Caenorhabditis elegans: one gene and its partner. The protein of the gene in region 1 purifies or fractionates together with the protein of each later gene. This does not show direct contact. Each region holds a gene or a part of one and is shown on either strand. Other genes may lie near its edges.

Region 1 (4,656 bases):
TGAATATACAGGAAGGAGGCAGAATTTTCTCAAGCTTGATTTGATCTTCGAAAAAAGCGGGAGAAGAGACGAAAACTTTTCAACTGATTTCGCATGGTTAGGAGTGCACTGACGTCACATTTTTCTGGGAGAAAAATTCCCGCATTTTTTGTAGATCAAACCGTATGTGGGACAGCCGGTCACCACGTGGAAACGTTCAAGAGGAGGCGGAATTTTCTGGATTTCGCATTTCTCAGCTCTGATTGGTTGGACATCAACTCCTTTCAAAATCCGTCAATAGTGAATTGAAAACTCTAAGTTTGTGCACAATTTTGTGCATGAACGCATCAAACACGTCTTTTGAAAAATCCAACTCCAATATTCTTGATCGACGACTACAGCAGGGGTGTGCGGCAAATCTCAAAATTTGCCGAGCTCGGCAAGTCCGGCAAATTCGACAAATTGGGCAAATTGGGGAGCACGAAGACTATCGAATTCTGAACAAACGTCTTTTTTCTGAATAAGTTCCGAGTGGTGTGTCTGCTTAAACATCAAAATAACTCAATTTTGTGTCATTTTACAGAAATTTTCTGGGGATAAAATCAATACTTTTGGTCAAAACTGTATTGTCAAATTTTTGATGTGTGCGGCGAATTCGGCAAATTTGACAAATTTGCCGCATACCCCTGGACTACAGTAACCCAAAAATTTCCGACTACTGAACATCTGAGAAGGGTTCTGCTCACGGAAGTCTGGCTTTCCTCATAAATTGAAATGGAAGAGTTTTTGCCGACCTAGGCCATTTTGGATCGGCCATATATGAGGTAGCTATACGGTGCGTTGCGTGTCGCGTCGCGGCTCGGTTTTAATTGTAAAACTAAATGTATTTGTCCGTGTGGAGTACACTACTTTCCCACGAGTTGTCCGGCAGGCGATTGTCAATGGAGCGCGAAAAATTCAATGAGGAAGGCCAGAACCCCGTATTTGCTGAGTGGAAGCACTACGATCAATCACCAAAATTGAAAGCATCATGCTCAAAACTGAGCCTTATTGATTCTGGAACAGCACTCCTTGAAAAAACATGGGAACTGTTCCTTTGGCCGAAGTTTCAGACATTTTTTGGGTTTCTTTTCGCTCGAAACACGTGGTGTCCCATTTCGGTTTGATCTACGTAGATCTACGAGAATTGCGGCAGAGTTCCCAACTGATTTCGTATTGTTAAGAACGTGTGCTGACGTCACATTTTTTTGGGCGAAAAATCCCCGCATTTTTTGGTAGATCAAACCATAACGGGACAGCCCCTGACAATACGTGTTATCGGCAAATTTGTCTCGAACTTGATTGACAGGTTAACTTCAAACGTTCAACTTGATCGGCCACCCATGTTCTCTTCGAAAAATCTATTTTTGCAAAGCCCAATCACAATTTCGAATGTCGACACGAAAAATGACTAACTAACTATTCCTCTTATCACCGCCGCCACTTTCGTGTCCAGAAAACAGTTGGCGTCGCGTCCAAACCATGCTGCAGATTCCCAACAATTCCCACGTCACAACAGATAACTAACCTATGTGAATGGTTATACTGATAAGCCAAGGGGAGGCGTGGCAAACGGGGGAAATGGGGTGACATCGGGGGGTTTGTGTATAAATTAGATTTTTCGACTACCGGAATTATAGTTAACTGATATTTTATATTTTCAAAATGATGAGAAACATCGCTGTACTCCTTGCTATTACGGCCGCCGGCTTCCAAATTAACGCTATGCCAATCGACTTGGCAGATTGCCCATTCCCAAATGGCACTGACAAGCAGATTCACTCGTACATGTGCTCCGACGGTGAGCAGTTCTCAATCACCGACATCCAAACGTTGGATAGCAAAGGAAACCCTCTCTACCCAATCGACCCGAGCCATCCGTTCATTTTGAACCTCACCACCTACAATCACGGACCACAGATCGACGATAATCATGTGAACGTGAAGATCAATCAGTACAAGTCGGGATGGCAGGGCGGCTGCTCGTGGACCGCACTTCCCACATTCGGATTGTTGAATGGAATCGATGGATGCGAATTTGCACACAACTGCCCACTCACGTCGGGACCACTCTTCTTGATTCTTCCGTTGGATTTGAGCCAATTCTCGGCGATTATTGACTTGATTGCTGCTAATGTAAGTGAAAAATCGACGAATTATTTTTGGAAAACTTAAAGTTCGGCGTTTGTCAAGTATAATTTCGGGACTAACATCGAATTCGGTAAAAGTGCGGACATGAGTTTTTTCAGGGTTCCGAATTTCGCCAAATATATACTCCAAAAGCAGTATTTCGACTGAGACTTGGATTGAATTGCCAAGAATCGGTCATATATCAAGTCTTGAAATGCTTTAAAGGTGGTGTAGTCAATTTTTTTTAATTGCTTTATTAGACCCAAAAATGTCTGAAAAAACCGAATTTCATAATAAAACTTTTTGAAAACTTCAACTTCTCAAAAAAAAGTTATGACGGCTCAAAAAAATGGCCTAAAATTTGTTAAAATTTGAAATTTGACCGACTTGTCAAGCGGCTGGAAACTATTTTTTTTTTGAAATCACCGTCAAATTTTGAGTATACAATTTAATTATCTTGCGTTTTCAACTTGATTTAGGTATTTTAAAGTTGATGGACGGCGAGATTTGGTAAAAAAATTTTAAAAATCTCGCCGTCCATCGACTTTAAAATACCTAAATCGAGTGGAAAACGCAAGATAATTAAATTTTATACTCAAAATTTGACGGTGATTTCAAAAAAGTTAGTTTCCAGCCGCTTGACAAGTCGGTCAAATTTTAAATTTTAACAAATTTAGGCCATTTTTTGAGCCGTCATAACTTTTTTTTTTGAGAAGTTGAAGTTTTCAAGGAGTTTCATTATGAAATTCGGTGTTTTCAGACATTTTTGAGTCTAATAAAGCAATAAAAAAAATTCGACTACACCACCTTTAAAGCATTTCAAGCTTTGATATATGACCGATTCTTGGCAATTCAATCCAAGTCTCAGTCGAAATAGAGGCCCCACCAAAACAGGATGCAGTGGGCGGAGCGAATTCGCAACCACCGCACGGTTATTTCGCAAGCCTCACACGTTTTTTCTTGATATTGTTGCATTTTTCAAGAGAAAAAACGTGCGAGGCTTGCGAAATAACCGTGCGGTGGTTGCGAATTCGCTCCGCCCACTGCATCCTGTTTTCGTGCATCCTGTTTTGGTGGGGCCTCTCGAAATACTGCTTTTGGAGTGTGAATTTGACGAAATTTGGCCGAAAATATACCAAATTGTGTACAAAACCTTACAATCTGGAGTGGAATCCTTCAATATTTTTTTCCGGCGATTCCAAATTTCCTCACATTGCAAAAATGTTAGACTCTTCGGTTTCTCAGGCCACGTGGTGCCAGGCTGTCCCATCACGGTTTGATCTACAGAAAATGCGGGAATTTTTTTCCCAAAAAAATGTGACGTCAGCACGTTCTTAACCATGCGAAATAAGTTGAGAACTCTGCCGCATTTTTTGTAGATCAACGTAGATCAAGCCGAAATGAGACACTCTGACACCAAGTGTACATGTCTCAAAACCCTAAAGAGCTAGGCAAAAACCCATTGATGGCCATAAATCCTAAAATCCTTCATTGCAGAAGCCGTACGAGCTGGAAATCCGAATGTTCAACTACAACGCCGGTGACACAAAGCACGAGGAGATCGCGTGTGTTATGGCTCAAGTTGAGTTGTCTTAAGCATGAATGCTCCGTCCGTTCGTTCGGGAATTGTATGTGTACATCGAAGAAGAAGAAGAAACAAAATGTCATGTGTGAAACTACGTGTCGCCGATATATATATATATAATAATCATCATCATCATAACTATAACTTTTGCAAATAAATATATAATCAATCGTATAGTTATCACTGTTATCAGTTGATTTGTGCCGTCAAATATAACAGACTACGGAAAGAATTGGCGAAATTTGGACTGGAAATTTAAAATAGTATACTTTGATATTGAAAATGTAAGCGCATTTTTCAGATGTTTCACTTTTTAGAAAAAAAAAATCCAGAATTACTAGTTTTTTCGATTTTTACGTGCTTTTGACTACAAAAAAGTACCAATTTATGAACTTTACAGTCAATTTTTTTTGTTTTTTCACACACTTAAAAAAAAATTAAACGGAAATGAAGTTTTTAAAAGACAATTTTTTTGTGATTTTGACTTCAAAAAAACCAAAAAAAAAAAAAAAAAAACGAAATTATGTAATTCTGAAAAGTACCAATTTATGAAATTTTCAGTTTTTCCAAAACGGTTTTTTTAAAGGAAAATTTTAGAATTTTAGAACTAGTTTTTATTCCACGTGTCTTTGATGATTTAAAAACAAAAACAAGTAATTCACGTGAGAGTGCAACATTTCGTCTTGATCTACGTTGATCTACAAAAAATGCGCCAGAGTTCTCAACTGATTGTGCATGGTTAAGAACGTGGTGCTGACGTCACATTTTTTGGGCGAAAAATTCCCGCATTTTTTGTAGATCAAACCGTAATGGGACAGCCTGACATCGCGTGGTAATTCTGAAACGCTTTTTTTTGAAAAATATATATTTTTATTCCATTTTTTGTCAAATTTATGATTTTTTTTCCGAGAACTCACTCATTT
Region 2 (4,611 bases), on another chromosome or scaffold:
TGGCATCTTGTGGTGCATGATTCGGCAAGAATAATTCAATATCAGAAAGTTCGAACATAATTTTTTTGCAATAATCTTTCCGCTTTTATTCGTTTTCAGACTCACAAAGACATTTAACTCATTTACTTTTTATTATTTTAGCTAGTGAAGTTTGAGATTTGGTCCCAGTGTTATTATTGATATCAAGACCAGATAAACTTGTTTCCGGTTTAACTCACAACAAAGCTAACGATTTCCGTTTGCGTGTCGTTTAAAAAACTTTACTCAATTGGCGTAGTTCTCTCTTTTTCAAAACGCTTTTCTAATCTATCTATTTTTCTGACCAGCTATCATAAAACCATAGCAACATAAATGTTTCCCTATAGAGCATCGGGTATTCTGTTTTTTTTTGATTGATAATATAAATATATCTCCCTCTAACCCAAATACACAACCAACAATCACATTATCTTTTTTCCTTCTTTTTGATCATTCCCACGCTCAAGTAGTCTCGCGATTTTTGAGTGTATTTCATTCAACATGCAAGTCAGAAGTTGTTCTCGTGTTTTTGTTTTGTTATTCACCTTTTAGTTTCTTTGTTACAGAGAGGCTTAATTGGGAATCTGCGGTAGTCAAGGAAACCGGGGGGAGAGGACCGCCGCTAATCATCACTACCTTCCTTCTCATTTCATTTAATCATAACTTTGCTTTTTTCCCTTTTCTTCTCTCGTGTTCTCCACAACTTTTTTTTTACATTTTTGTGTTGTCACGACTTTTAAGCCTATGTGATTTTAAATTTGTGTTGAGCTCATGCGCTTTTCGGAAAAATTTTGCGAACATAACGATTACAACTGGTTTCAAACAAAAATGTAATTTATCGCCATTTCATTTAAATATTTCTTGACTTTGACGGGTAGTGAAAAAGTGTTCAGATGTTTTTCGGTGAACCAAAATCTGTGGTTTTAGAGAAAGTTTCCAAATGTCATTTTGAACGTTCTTGAAAAACTGGTTCATCTTTAACATTGAGACAAAAAACAATTTGTGTTAAAGAAAAAAACATCCCAATCTAAAGTACAAATCTACAAATCTAAAGTAACTATGTTCTTCACGTGCTACCATGTTGCTTTTTCATGGAAAATTATGGCGTCACACAAGGTCTTGAAATTTAGGATTTACCTATCTCTCTTTAAGTCTAACAAGTTCTTTCGAAATTATATTGTCGTTTCTAGTGTTGATGACTTTTGAAAATTAGTCAACGAGTTTGGTTTCATCCCGAGTTACGTATCTATTTATTTTTTTTTTTTGGTACATATTCAGTTTGTCGCGCGGCTTTGAAATACGGGTTTCAAATAATTTTTTTTGAAGGAATGTTCTCTTGCATTGATGGATTTGAAAATTCTCATGAAAATAGTAACTTTTTTTGACGAAACTTGTACATTCTCTCTGAGCAATACAGTGGAAATTGACTTTATTTCCGGTGTGAAATCTACATTTTCGTTGCCGAAAAGTCTGTTCAGTTTGTCTCGACAAGCTTTCTGAAACTTTTTTTTTGGCATGACAACATGTTTTGTTTTTTTTTTTCTGATTAGTCATTTCATTTGTCTCGTTGTCTAAGTTGAATCTCGCTGGCATCCTATAATTAAAGTTTGCGTTCTCTATCATAATCGTCATAATCTTTGAATTATTTTTGTTCTTTCAAAAATTTCAATATATGTTCAGGGAAACATGGGGGTCTGTCAGTCATTTGTACTCACTGACGAGATGAAGGATCAGATCAAAGTTAACAAGTCAGTTTTTGAGTTACATGTTTCATAATTGTCGTTAATATTTCAGAGAAATAGAAAAACAGCTCGAAAAGAAGAAAAACATGCAATTGGAGCAAACCGTTCTTCTACTGGGGCCTGGTGAAAGTGGAAAAAGTACTGTCATGAAACAGATGAGGTATATTTGATTTTTTAATAATTCTTGTACATGACCTAATATTTTGAATTAACAACGGGAAAATAAATAGGTTTCTGATTATACCTTGGGAGTTGTGTCTGTTTCTTTCTGTTTACAGTTTGAAAATTAATTAATAACTATTATATTTCCTGTTATATGGGTAGCCAAACATTCTATTTTCAGAGCCATGACTGGAAACTACACAAAGACAGAACTACACGAACGAAAAGTGCTAATTATACAGAATTTATGTCAATTTTCTGAGATGTTGTTAGAATACGTCAGAGAATATATTTTGGAGATGACGGAAGACGATGATAAAGTGAGTTTTGCGACCTCTCGGGTTTTATTAGGTTTCAAATTAAAAACTTTTAGCGATATACTGTGATGTGCGAAGAACTGAAAATGGCGGTAATTCATGATGGAATAATGAGACCTGAACTCGCCGATACACTGAAGGAATTCTGGGGAAACAGTGCAATACAGGACGCGTATTCCAAGAGAGACACATTTCATTTGACAGATAGTGCCAAGTAGTGAGTTTTTTTTTTGGAAACTTGTAGCGCATTCATAGTTAGAATTATAGAAAAATGTTTCAATTGATTCAAAAACACGTTTCAAAAATGTCTGAAATGTTTCTTAAAATATTCTTTTATGTCACACAGTTATTATTTAAATGTTTCGAGTTATGTATATGTTTGTTCGTTCACAAATAAAACCAAACTACAGACATTGTTCGTGTATCTGTCATTTGGTCTAACGGAACATGTAATTAACAGGTCTAGAAAAAAAAAATTGTGATAGTGATCGCTGAAGTCTATGATGTTAACTTGTTTATGTTCTTGTTCTAGCAGGCAAATTTTGCAATAAAAAATCAATTGAATAACTACATTAAATTATCTCAAAATTGTGTTATTTGAACTTAATAATTCATTTTCAGTTTCTTCGACAACATCGACCGTATAAAATTGCCAGGCTTTGAACCGACAAATCAGGATATTGTTCACATACGGGTACCTACAACGGGAGTTGCACAAGTCGAAGTTATTATGAACAATATCAAATTGATGATTTGCGATTGTGGTGGACAACGATCTGAAAGACGAAAAGTTGGAAATTTAACTATTTCTTTGTTTCCTAATTGAGAATTTAATTTCAGTGGTATCACTTTTTCGATGAGGCTGACGCTGTTCTTTTTGTAGCGGCTATTAGCGAGTTTGATCAGAAGTTAGCGGAGGATGAAGAGACGGTAATTTTTCCAAACAGCCACAAAATTGAAACGAAAAATTAAATTTTAGAACCGTATGCATGAATCCATCAGATTGTTCTGGACAGTTTTTAATGGAAAGTTTTTCAAAAAAGCGGCAGTCATACTTTTCCTGAACAAAATTGATTTGTTCGAGGAGAAAGTAAAACATGTGAAGATTAAGGATTACTTTCCAAAATTTGAAGGTTTGTTTTCCAAGTTTTTGAATTCATAGTTTCATGTTTCAGGAGCAAACACAGTTTCAGAAGGTACAAAGTTCTTTCGGAGACAATTTAGAGAAGGGATTCACCCGGACTTCAAAAAAAGAATGTGAGTTTTTGAGACTACAGTTTTGTGTCTACTGCACTTTTGAAAATCTAACTATGAACTTACAAACTAAAAGAATTCTGAACGTATTCGACTTCTTGGATATTTTTGACTTTTTTGTGCCAGTATGGAACACTAACAGTACTAGAAAATAAAATGTAAATTTCAAAAACGTAATTTTACAGGTACACCCATGAAACATGTGCAATATCGGATCAAGTTCAAATAATCATCAATACAGTGATAGATACAGTTATTCAAGATAATCTCAAAGATACGGGAATGATATGAACTCCAATCGCTCTGCACAAATTATTGTTCTTCAATTTAGTATCTGCCTCAAACAACGTGTGTGATTAGTAATAATTATTCCCTATTCTATTTGAGTGGTGTCATTTTTTATTGATTGAAATTTATCGTGACTGAAACTCTGATGAAAATTTGTACTAATTTTCAGTGTAAAGTGAGAACCAAATAAGATTAAAGGAACATACATATTTATTCGAATCTCTTTTAGAAGAAAAATGTTCAATCGTTTTTACCTGACTTTTCACATCTTCTCAAACAAAAACATGCGACAAGATAAATGGACAGAATTCCAAAAATATACGGAAAGATAATAACAAGGTATACATCTAAAAGATTTCTTTGAATGAATCCAAGTGTCCTCCCATATGGATCCATTTCCGGGAACGGACCAAATTTTGCAACAAATTCAGTGTATTTGACTACGGTCTCCTTGGGATTTGTTGGTTGGTTTCTCAACATTTCTGCCAGTTTTTTAGAGTTCTTCTTAAAATGATCGTCGTTCAAAATTGAATAAATGGAATTTTTCACAAGTTCCCTTTTCCAAAGATCGTTTCGACTACAAGAACTCCTCCATGTCTTGCCAACATCAAAGAATTTCTGTTTTGATCGGCAAATACTGGTACCATTAATGCTGGTTTACCAAGATACGCAAGTTCAGTTGTGCTACCAAGACCTCCATGTGTCATGAATGCTGTTAAACGGTCATCATTTAGTAATGCGGTTTGAGGAATCCATTTTGAAAAATGAATATTTTCAATTTCTTCTGCTCATTGCAAATCATTTGTTTCATATTTCCAAATAAGCGTTAC

The links.
Region 2: the proteins of Y51F10.7 (region 1) and gpa-10 fractionate together in Caenorhabditis elegans (co-fractionation; one large-scale study listed by BioGRID). This does not show direct contact.

Annotation. Positions count from the first base shown.
Region 1 is NC_003279.8:1,910,934-1,915,589, reverse strand, and holds Y51F10.7 (MD-2-related lipid-recognition domain-containing protein), read left to right. Parts: upstream 1-1,654; 5' UTR 1,655-1,683; coding exon 1,684-2,154; intron 2,155-3,645; coding exon 3,646-3,744; 3' UTR 3,745-3,906; downstream 3,907-4,656.
Region 2 is NC_003283.11:6,851,897-6,856,507, reverse strand, and holds gpa-10 (Guanine nucleotide-binding protein alpha-10 subunit), read left to right. Parts: upstream 1-1,696; 5' UTR 1,697-1,704; coding exon 1,705-1,766; intron 1,767-1,812; coding exon 1,813-1,920; intron 1,921-2,103; coding exon 2,104-2,242; intron 2,243-2,295; coding exon 2,296-2,456; intron 2,457-2,860; coding exon 2,861-3,029; intron 3,030-3,079; coding exon 3,080-3,169; intron 3,170-3,218; coding exon 3,219-3,372; intron 3,373-3,414; coding exon 3,415-3,496; intron 3,497-3,678; coding exon 3,679-3,784; 3' UTR 3,785-3,987; downstream 3,988-4,611.